Linked DNA regions of Oryzias latipes. The protein of the gene in region 2 binds, or shares a complex with, the protein of the main gene of each other region. Links are inferred from orthologs where the notes say so. Each region holds a gene or a part of one and is shown on either strand. Other genes may lie near its edges.

The links.
Region 1: the proteins of ube2o (region 2) and nap1l1 are in contact, whole or in part, in a cryo-EM structure (PDB 7UN6), measured with the Homo sapiens proteins. The link is inferred for Oryzias latipes from reciprocal best matches to the Homo sapiens genes UBE2O and NAP1L1. Residues at the interface, in NP_071349.3 of Homo sapiens: Ser225, Asn226, Val282, Lys283, Pro284, Val285, Lys289, Ser290, Lys291, Phe292, Arg293; in NP_001317160.1 of Homo sapiens: Arg333, Arg337, Thr343, Gly344, Glu345, Ala346, Ile347, Asp349.

Annotation. Positions count from the first base shown.
Region 1 is NC_019881.2:10,002,093-10,005,910, forward strand, and holds part of nap1l1 (nucleosome assembly protein 1-like 1), read right to left. Parts: intron 1,896-3,818; coding exon 1,793-1,895; intron 431-1,792; coding exon 289-430; intron 144-288; coding exon 51-143; intron 1-50. UniProt on the Homo sapiens protein: Histone chaperone that plays a role in the nuclear import of H2A-H2B and nucleosome assembly.
Region 2 is NC_019859.2:3,061,092-3,064,909, forward strand, and holds part of ube2o ((E3-independent) E2 ubiquitin-conjugating enzyme), read right to left. Parts: intron 784-3,818; coding exon 724-783; intron 344-723; coding exon 233-343; intron 1-232. UniProt on the Homo sapiens protein: E2/E3 hybrid ubiquitin-protein ligase that displays both E2 and E3 ligase activities and mediates monoubiquitination of target proteins. Negatively regulates TRAF6-mediated NF-kappa-B activation independently of its E2 activity.

The DNA.
Region 1 (3,818 bases), on a different chromosome or scaffold from region 2:
TTCATGCAAATCCACAGACTGATTCAACAATAGAAATCTGTCATCTGTACCTGCTTACTTACTGTGAGCTCTTCCTCCTCATCTGCTTTCCATTCACACTCCTCATCTGTGGGCTCATATGCTGCTCTCACTATGTCGCTTCTCTGTGCAGTAAAACAAAGTCTCAGCAAAATTTCCAGAAGAACATCACAGACTCTCTGAATGAGCTCATAACTGCTGTCCTGTCCCAGAGGCTCCATGCGGGAGGCTGCTGTAGACCAAAGTCCAGCAGATGCAGAGGGGACTTACTTTGTCAAACAGAGGCTGGTACAGAGCCGCATATTTTCTCTCCAGTTCGTGAACTTCTTCATAGAACTTGGCCTCGATGTGAGCGCATTTGACCTGGAGGTTCTTGAGGGCATTGACGCGTCTCTTCACAACCTTTGGTAAACTGTGGAGACAGACGGAAAGGTCCTGAAGCATTCCTGTCAGTAATCCAGCATGACTCGTTCCGATTCCTCTTTAGACTTCAGGACCAAATTGCTACTCGTTTTCTGGGAAATTCTGGATTTCTTTGGAGACATTTTCAAAACCATTTTTACACTTGGAGATCACAAAGTCCTCTAATACTAACTTGAAAAACTAAACTGCCGGACCTTGAAAGTAATCAGTGACTTTGCGTCTTTTTGGTCTTCATGACACAGATTTCACTTCCAAGCCATCACCTGTCCATCTGCTTCTTCACAGGGAAGTTTTACTTGTCAGCAGGTGAATGACACTTACCTCCCTGCCAACAGTAACACAGCATAGCACAACACCAAACAGACCAGATTTTGGAGTCCGTTGGTCTACTCCTCACTACCCTCTGTTCCAAAGCTTTTCTATAAAAGACTTCAGGGATTTCAGAGGTGAAGCTCTTCCCACAGCTTTAAAGTGACAGTGTCTCTGAGGAAGGAGCAGAACATCCTCCTGAGCAGACGAGTCCTTCACTCTTCTAGTGCCAACCTTTGGTGTGGAGCTCTTAAACCAAAAAACTCTGGTTCAAAGAGGAGCGATGAAGCTCAGTAGCCATCAGCTTGTTAATCTGCTTCCAAACACTCCAGAAGCTTACCCATCAGTATCAAACATCAGAAGAAGGGAAATTGTGAAATCTGCACCATCTGACTGCATGCTGGCAGAGGCTGAACATCTTGAATTTCAGACGGCATTACAGTTCCTTCACAGAATACAAACGGAGAGCAAGGAGCTTAATTATTTTTTACTCCCGCATAATCCCAGCCCAAAAGAAAATGAAAGGAGTTCTGCAGACCAGCTGCAAAACCAAGAGTTCAAGGAAGCGACACATCTGCATGTCAGCCCGACATACAGGATTTATTTCAGACAAAGATTTTCTGATTACAAACTCAAACGAGCCTTCATAATAATTCAGTTTAGCACAGACTCGAGGAACAGCACACTTCTTAGACCTGGGACTCGACAGCGGAAGATTCCATCATCACAGACTGCTACTGAACAGAGCAGATCAGGGGAGACGCTGGAGGAAACCTTCAGAACCTGCAGCTGTCTGCGGTGTCATTTGGAAACACAGAGCTGCACAGAAAGCAGTAGGCTCCACCAGACAGAGTCTTCTTAACTGGATGAATACAGAAATTATCAGCAAAAAAGGGAGTCCAGTTTAAACCCAACTGAAGGCAAAGTCCAAACCACTTTAGCCAAGATTTTCTTTTCAGCAGAGCAAACAGGATTTTTCAATGTATCCACCAAACAAGATTCATCTACTGTGGATGCCGATATGCTGACTTTCCTCACTCACCTCTCCATGTAGCCTGATGGGGAGCCGTTCAGACCGTCCAGCCTCTCCTGTAGAGCTGCTAGGATCTGTGGGTTCTGCATCATCTGCACTGTGAGCTGACGAGCTGCAAACAGCAGAAAAGCTCCTCAGATGAATGAAACCAATGTGCAGACACGCTCAGTAGCTGCAGTTACATGTGCAAAATGTGTCTGTTAGGATCAAAGATCAGATTAATATTGAACCGTGTACATGGGCCCAGAAAAAACGTAATCAGATTATATCAAAGGTTTATATACGCCACACTTTCGGATGGGGAAAAAAAAAAAAATCATAACACGCGCAGAACCATCTAAAATACCAGAAACAGCCATAGAAGAAGAAATAGTGAATTTTGTTGTAAAAAAAACAAACAAAGCTGCAGCATAGAGGAAGATTATCTAAATGTGCTTTTATGATTGTTAAAATTATTATTAAGTGTCTGTTCGCCCATAATTTTCTAAATACGTGCGGCCAGTGCTTTATGACTAAAGAGAATCTGCCGTGTTTGATAGAAATTTAGCACAGCTGTTTATTTCAGATACAGAAGATGAGGACTTTGATGGATGACTTTTGGATGCTGATTGATGACAGAAAAAACAAAAAAGAAAAATCACAAGCAACCCAGTTTTGCTACCGCTGCCTTTTTTGTAATAGACACTTGCATACAGGAAAAAAAAACACCCATAACTGAAACTGGGCCCTTTAATCCAGTGCTGTTTTATTGTAAGGAGAAGAGTGTGTTATTGGAAATAATATGGCTTTCATTGTTTGTTTGTGTGTGTATGTCTTGGCAGGTAAGTGCATGGTGTGGCTCTTTGACCAGAGTCACATGACCAACAACCTGATGCAGATTGTGCTTCTTGGTAGGAACTGGCTGCCTTGGTCACTGCACAGATGATGAGCGCTAGTACTGTGGCAGAAATTTGAACTCATCAGCTGTCAAAGTATTGTTTACATCCGTTGCCATGTTTTTGAATGATGCGTGAATTGGTTTGTTTCAATAGTTTTGCGCATATGTGTCATGGAAACGCAGCTCATGATGCCTTCATGAAGATAATGATGTTGGTCAAAACAGAACTACAGAAGATGTGCTGCTAGCTTCATTAGTATCGTGAGCTTTAAGAGTCTCTTCCAGGACAACCCCTCAGGACCTGTGAAAGTACAAACCATCAAAGGTTCCTTTTCAAGCAGTTCTGATTCATCCTTCATTTGGATGGAGGTGCAGAGTTGACAGGCTTCTTCTATAAACAAGCCCCAGCTGGGCTCTGTGCCTTAGCACATCTGTACGGTTTCTTTATCATGCCTGACAACTTAAGGCCCGTACACACCGGGACGAATATTCGCCAGGCGTTATTCGCCAGCGTTTTTCGCCACGTTTTTTGTGTTCACACCCAGGCGATTTTCGCTGACGATGAGTGGAGTGAACATGCAATTTCATTCCCTGACATTAGATGGCGTTTAATGTAAACAGAAATACTCCTGTACACAAGGTGGCGCTGCGCAACTTTACGCTTCTTAAAGTCGCTTTTCACTCAGAAGAAGAGAGCAAGTATTTACACGCTTGTCAGAATAATACAAAGAAAACATGAATATTTCAAGCATCAGTAGCTCCAACTGGTGCTTGGTTCGGGGATATTTTAGAATGTCCGTCATTATTTCTTCGCGGCAGTGTAGACGCTACTTGGCGTCTATCTTCTTCGCTGGTATGTGTGCTCAGCAAGGCAGTTTTGTGTTTGAGCGCCCCCAAGTTGTGTTTTACTGTAACTTCAGAAGCTCCAGACACGTGAGCAAAAGCGCCGTTCTCATTGGTCGAGTAGATTTCGACGCGACGCGTCGAAAAAAAAAAACGAACCCGAGGCGTTTTTTTTTTTTGACGCTTTAACGCCTGGCGTTTTTTCGCGTCGGTGTGCACACTCTCATTGGTGCCCTTTGTTTAGTCACGAGGCGTTAAACGTCGGCGAAAATCGCCGGCGAAATTCGTCCCGGTGTGAACAGGCCTTTAAATGAA
Region 2 (3,818 bases):
ACAAACATATGCACACACAGGTTCTGCTTGTGTTTCACAATAAAAAGAAAAGAAATAAGAGATTACAATGTCATTGAAACTGTTCATCTGAGGCTGGTCACTATGGTTTGAGGATCTAAAGAGGGTTAGACATCGAGGTCTTCTATACCTGTAGTGTCAAATCTGCTCTCAGGGAAATCATTTATCATCTAAAGTTCAGATTTAGAGATGGAGAAACAGTCCCTGGACTCACCCAGATGTGCTGCAGCTCTTTGCTGTTGACTGGATACAGGATGCAGCTCGTGCCCACCAGTTTGACCGCACACTCGATGTCGATGTTGGTCACGATGCCGCACTGGTTGTCCTGTGGAGCAACACAGACACACGTCAACACAGAAACATGTATAACAGTTCGATCCCAAAACACAGAATAGAGGAGGCTTTCCTTCACAGAACGACAGGAAAATGAAGCTCAAATTGCTCCTAACCTCCCAGAAAAAAAACGTTTTTTCCTCTGATTGGTCCACTGATTAGGCCCCACCCACTTATTCACCTGGTAAACGTGTATAACAGGCATTTATTAAAACCTAAAGACTAAATAATAGCAATGAACTAGAACAAAACAAAGTTTTAGATGCCACATCTTCAAGGACTTTCACTTAGACTGCTTATTGTCTTTATATAAAAAACTATTAAAACTAGAGAAGAACAGGAGAAAAGAAGATCAGGAGAGATGGCACTTACATTGGAATTATTCCGCCTCACGATGTCTCTGATGACGAGTGACCGATCCTCCAGTTTCAGCTGGAAAACATGAAACACAGACATGAACGAAGCTGGAAGATTCGGGTTTTCCTCCACAGTTCAACAGCTTCATCTCCTTACAAAAGAGGAAGATGTTTAATCAACACTGACGAGTCGATAAACATCTTTTTTTCCCCCCCTTTCTTTTTAATTATTCATCACGTCATTGAAATGAGAATCTTTCTGTGAAACGGAGCATTTTTCAGCTGCAGCAGAAGCTGGAGGACAGAAACCAGAAGATGTTGGCCTAAACTCGGCTCCCAGGAGGACGGCCGGGCCGGTTCCCCTGAACCGGATGCTGCTGACATAAAAAAACCAACTCAAATGATGAGTTCTGGACCACTGACCAGCAAAATGCTGAACATCCGACCTTTAAGGCGTCTTCAGAGCCTGAAACCCTGGAACAGTCGGGCTTTTATAAAAGAGATAAAGTACCCATGAAGACTTTCTCACAATATGTTTTTTTAGGAGAAAAAAGGAGGTTCCTCTATGTACCACATAGAGCCTTCAAGTAGAACCTTTCCCTCTTAAAATCCATGTTTAAAAGCGACAAAACTGATAAATAGCTCTGGCCGTTCGTGAAGCTCCGTCGACCCGTTTTAGATCTGAATAGAAAGAGTTTAAGGGATTAAAGCTAAACTGCTGTTAAAATAAAACGATGTAATGAATCCAAACAAAGTGTGAACAAAAGGCAATTAACCCGTGTGCTATCCTATGGGGTCAAGATGACCATTGACGTGTTCTCCCTACCATGACAAAGGTGGAAAGATTTCATGTAATCCATGGACACCCATCTAGTGGGTCTAGATGACCCAACTCCCAATGTTAAAGTGCCTAGGATAGCACAAGGGTTAAAGGAGTAAAACTGTGTGTTTTTGTTTAATTAATGCTGTGAAGCGGATCAGAGAAAAGACAAAAAAGGTGAGACGCTGCAGCAAAAAAAAAAAAAAAGTCAGGCATTCACCTGGTTTTAGGCCTGCACAATACACCGCAAATTTATCGTTATCGCAATATCCAGCCATGCAATACGCATATCGCAAAAGACAGTGAAAATCGCAATAAATCGTAAACCTTAAATGTGTTAACACAACCTTATGGCAGCTTGAAGCATTTAACGAATCAAATAAATCCCTTTATGCATTTGACCAATCAGATGGAGGCCTATTATGTTAGATGTTTGTCTCCTATGTTGACGTCATTTGGAGTATAATTTTTAAACTGTTGCAATGAAATGGAAATTATGATTTTGGTTATATTGTTATTTGTTTATACAGTAAACCGCAAATTATACCGTTATCGCAATATTAATCTGTAATATCGCATATCGCGATTTTTCTTCATATCGTGAAGCCCTACCTGGTTTAAAATCTTTCTACCAAAGTGATGGACGAAAAATGTTGATCTTTTGAAGTATATTCCAACAAAAGCTGACAAAAACACATACTTTGGTTTTAACCAAAACTTCAAGAAAATTAAACTTTTTGTGTCTTCTTCCAAGTTAACACACAAAAAAATCCTTCATTATTAGAAGTTAAACCAGCCAAAGTTCATGTAGATCTCCTCTGTTTTTTTCTTTGGTACTTTCTGAACAGAAAAGCTTCTATTCTTGCCAGAGTCTGTTAAATCCTGCAGTCATGGTCTTTCCAATGGTCAGACGGTTCGATTCCGAATGCATCCCTCTCTTTTGGTTACAGTTTTTCACGACAGGGAGCTTCAGCAGGGATGTCAAAGTCGACTTTAACGCCCACCGCGGCCGCCTGCTGCACACAGAGACGCCGTGGATCTGGATGGCGAGCAACAGGAAGACAACTACAGACGAAAAGCATCCCTTTGTTTCTCCATGCTCACTTCAGGCTCCATGAAGCCTCCAAACTCTCTGCACCGCTGCTGCACAGAGGTTCATAAATCTCTGCATGCCAGCTGCAGAGATTTATGAACCTCTTCAAAACCACAGTTTCTGACACACGGACGCCTTCAACGCCACTTTGAACAAGCCAAACATGCAACGTTTATGCCGATAACTAACCAACACGTCACGCCAACCGTTGCTATGGCTCTCACACAGCGTACAGGGAGGGGGTCTAACGGCAGCGGGGGCGTCCGACCTTGGCCGCTCCTCTGTGAAGAAGAGCCCGGATTGATTCCACAAAATCGATGGAGGACAGTGTTTGCTTTGACATCCAGGCCCAATTAACAAGTTTTAATTCAGGAGCAGCACCAACGAGGAAGAGGAACCGAGAGCTGCAGCATGAAGCCACGCCTCTTTGCACGGCTCCACATTTGTGTTTACCTTAAAAAAAAAAACACAGATCTGAGGGTAAAAACCAGCAGGTGAGGATACACAATTAACACATCACACACACACTCCTGATTACAAACACAAAGAAGGAAACTCCACCCACAGAGACAGCAGGAACCAATCATTCCTTAATTATCAGAACTCCTCTTTCTGCTCGCCATGATTCTGTTCCGTCAATCTCGTGTTGTTGTTGGTCAACAAACCCTGAAGTGTAATGTTACTGCTGCTCATGTGACCGATCAGAGGACCAATCAGAGGAGCCGGGCCTCCTGCATGTTAGCGATCAAGAGTGACGTCATCCATAGAAAATTGCCTTCTTCCAGCTCCAACCAAATTTCACAAAACGGACATGTTGGAGCCAGACGACGTCGGTAAGCCGTGATTGGTCCGAGTCAGTGTTTCTATGGCAACCACTCTCGCCAATCAGGAGTGAGCTTGTTAGAAGGCCACGTCCCTACCACTTTAAAGCAGGCAGCACAAATTCTATCCAGCGTTTTTGAGCGTCGGACAAAGAGGGGCAGCAGGCTCCACCCCCTTTAAGTAAGGCATCTGATTGGTCAGATTATAGCTTCGCTAAAAAATAATTAAAAAAATCTGGATTGATGACAATTTTTGAAGATGTGGTCACAATGGATATTCAGTTTTAATCATTTACAACAAATGGAGATGATGGATATATCTCTATATATCTCTATCTATCTATCTATCTATATATATATATATATATAGATATAGA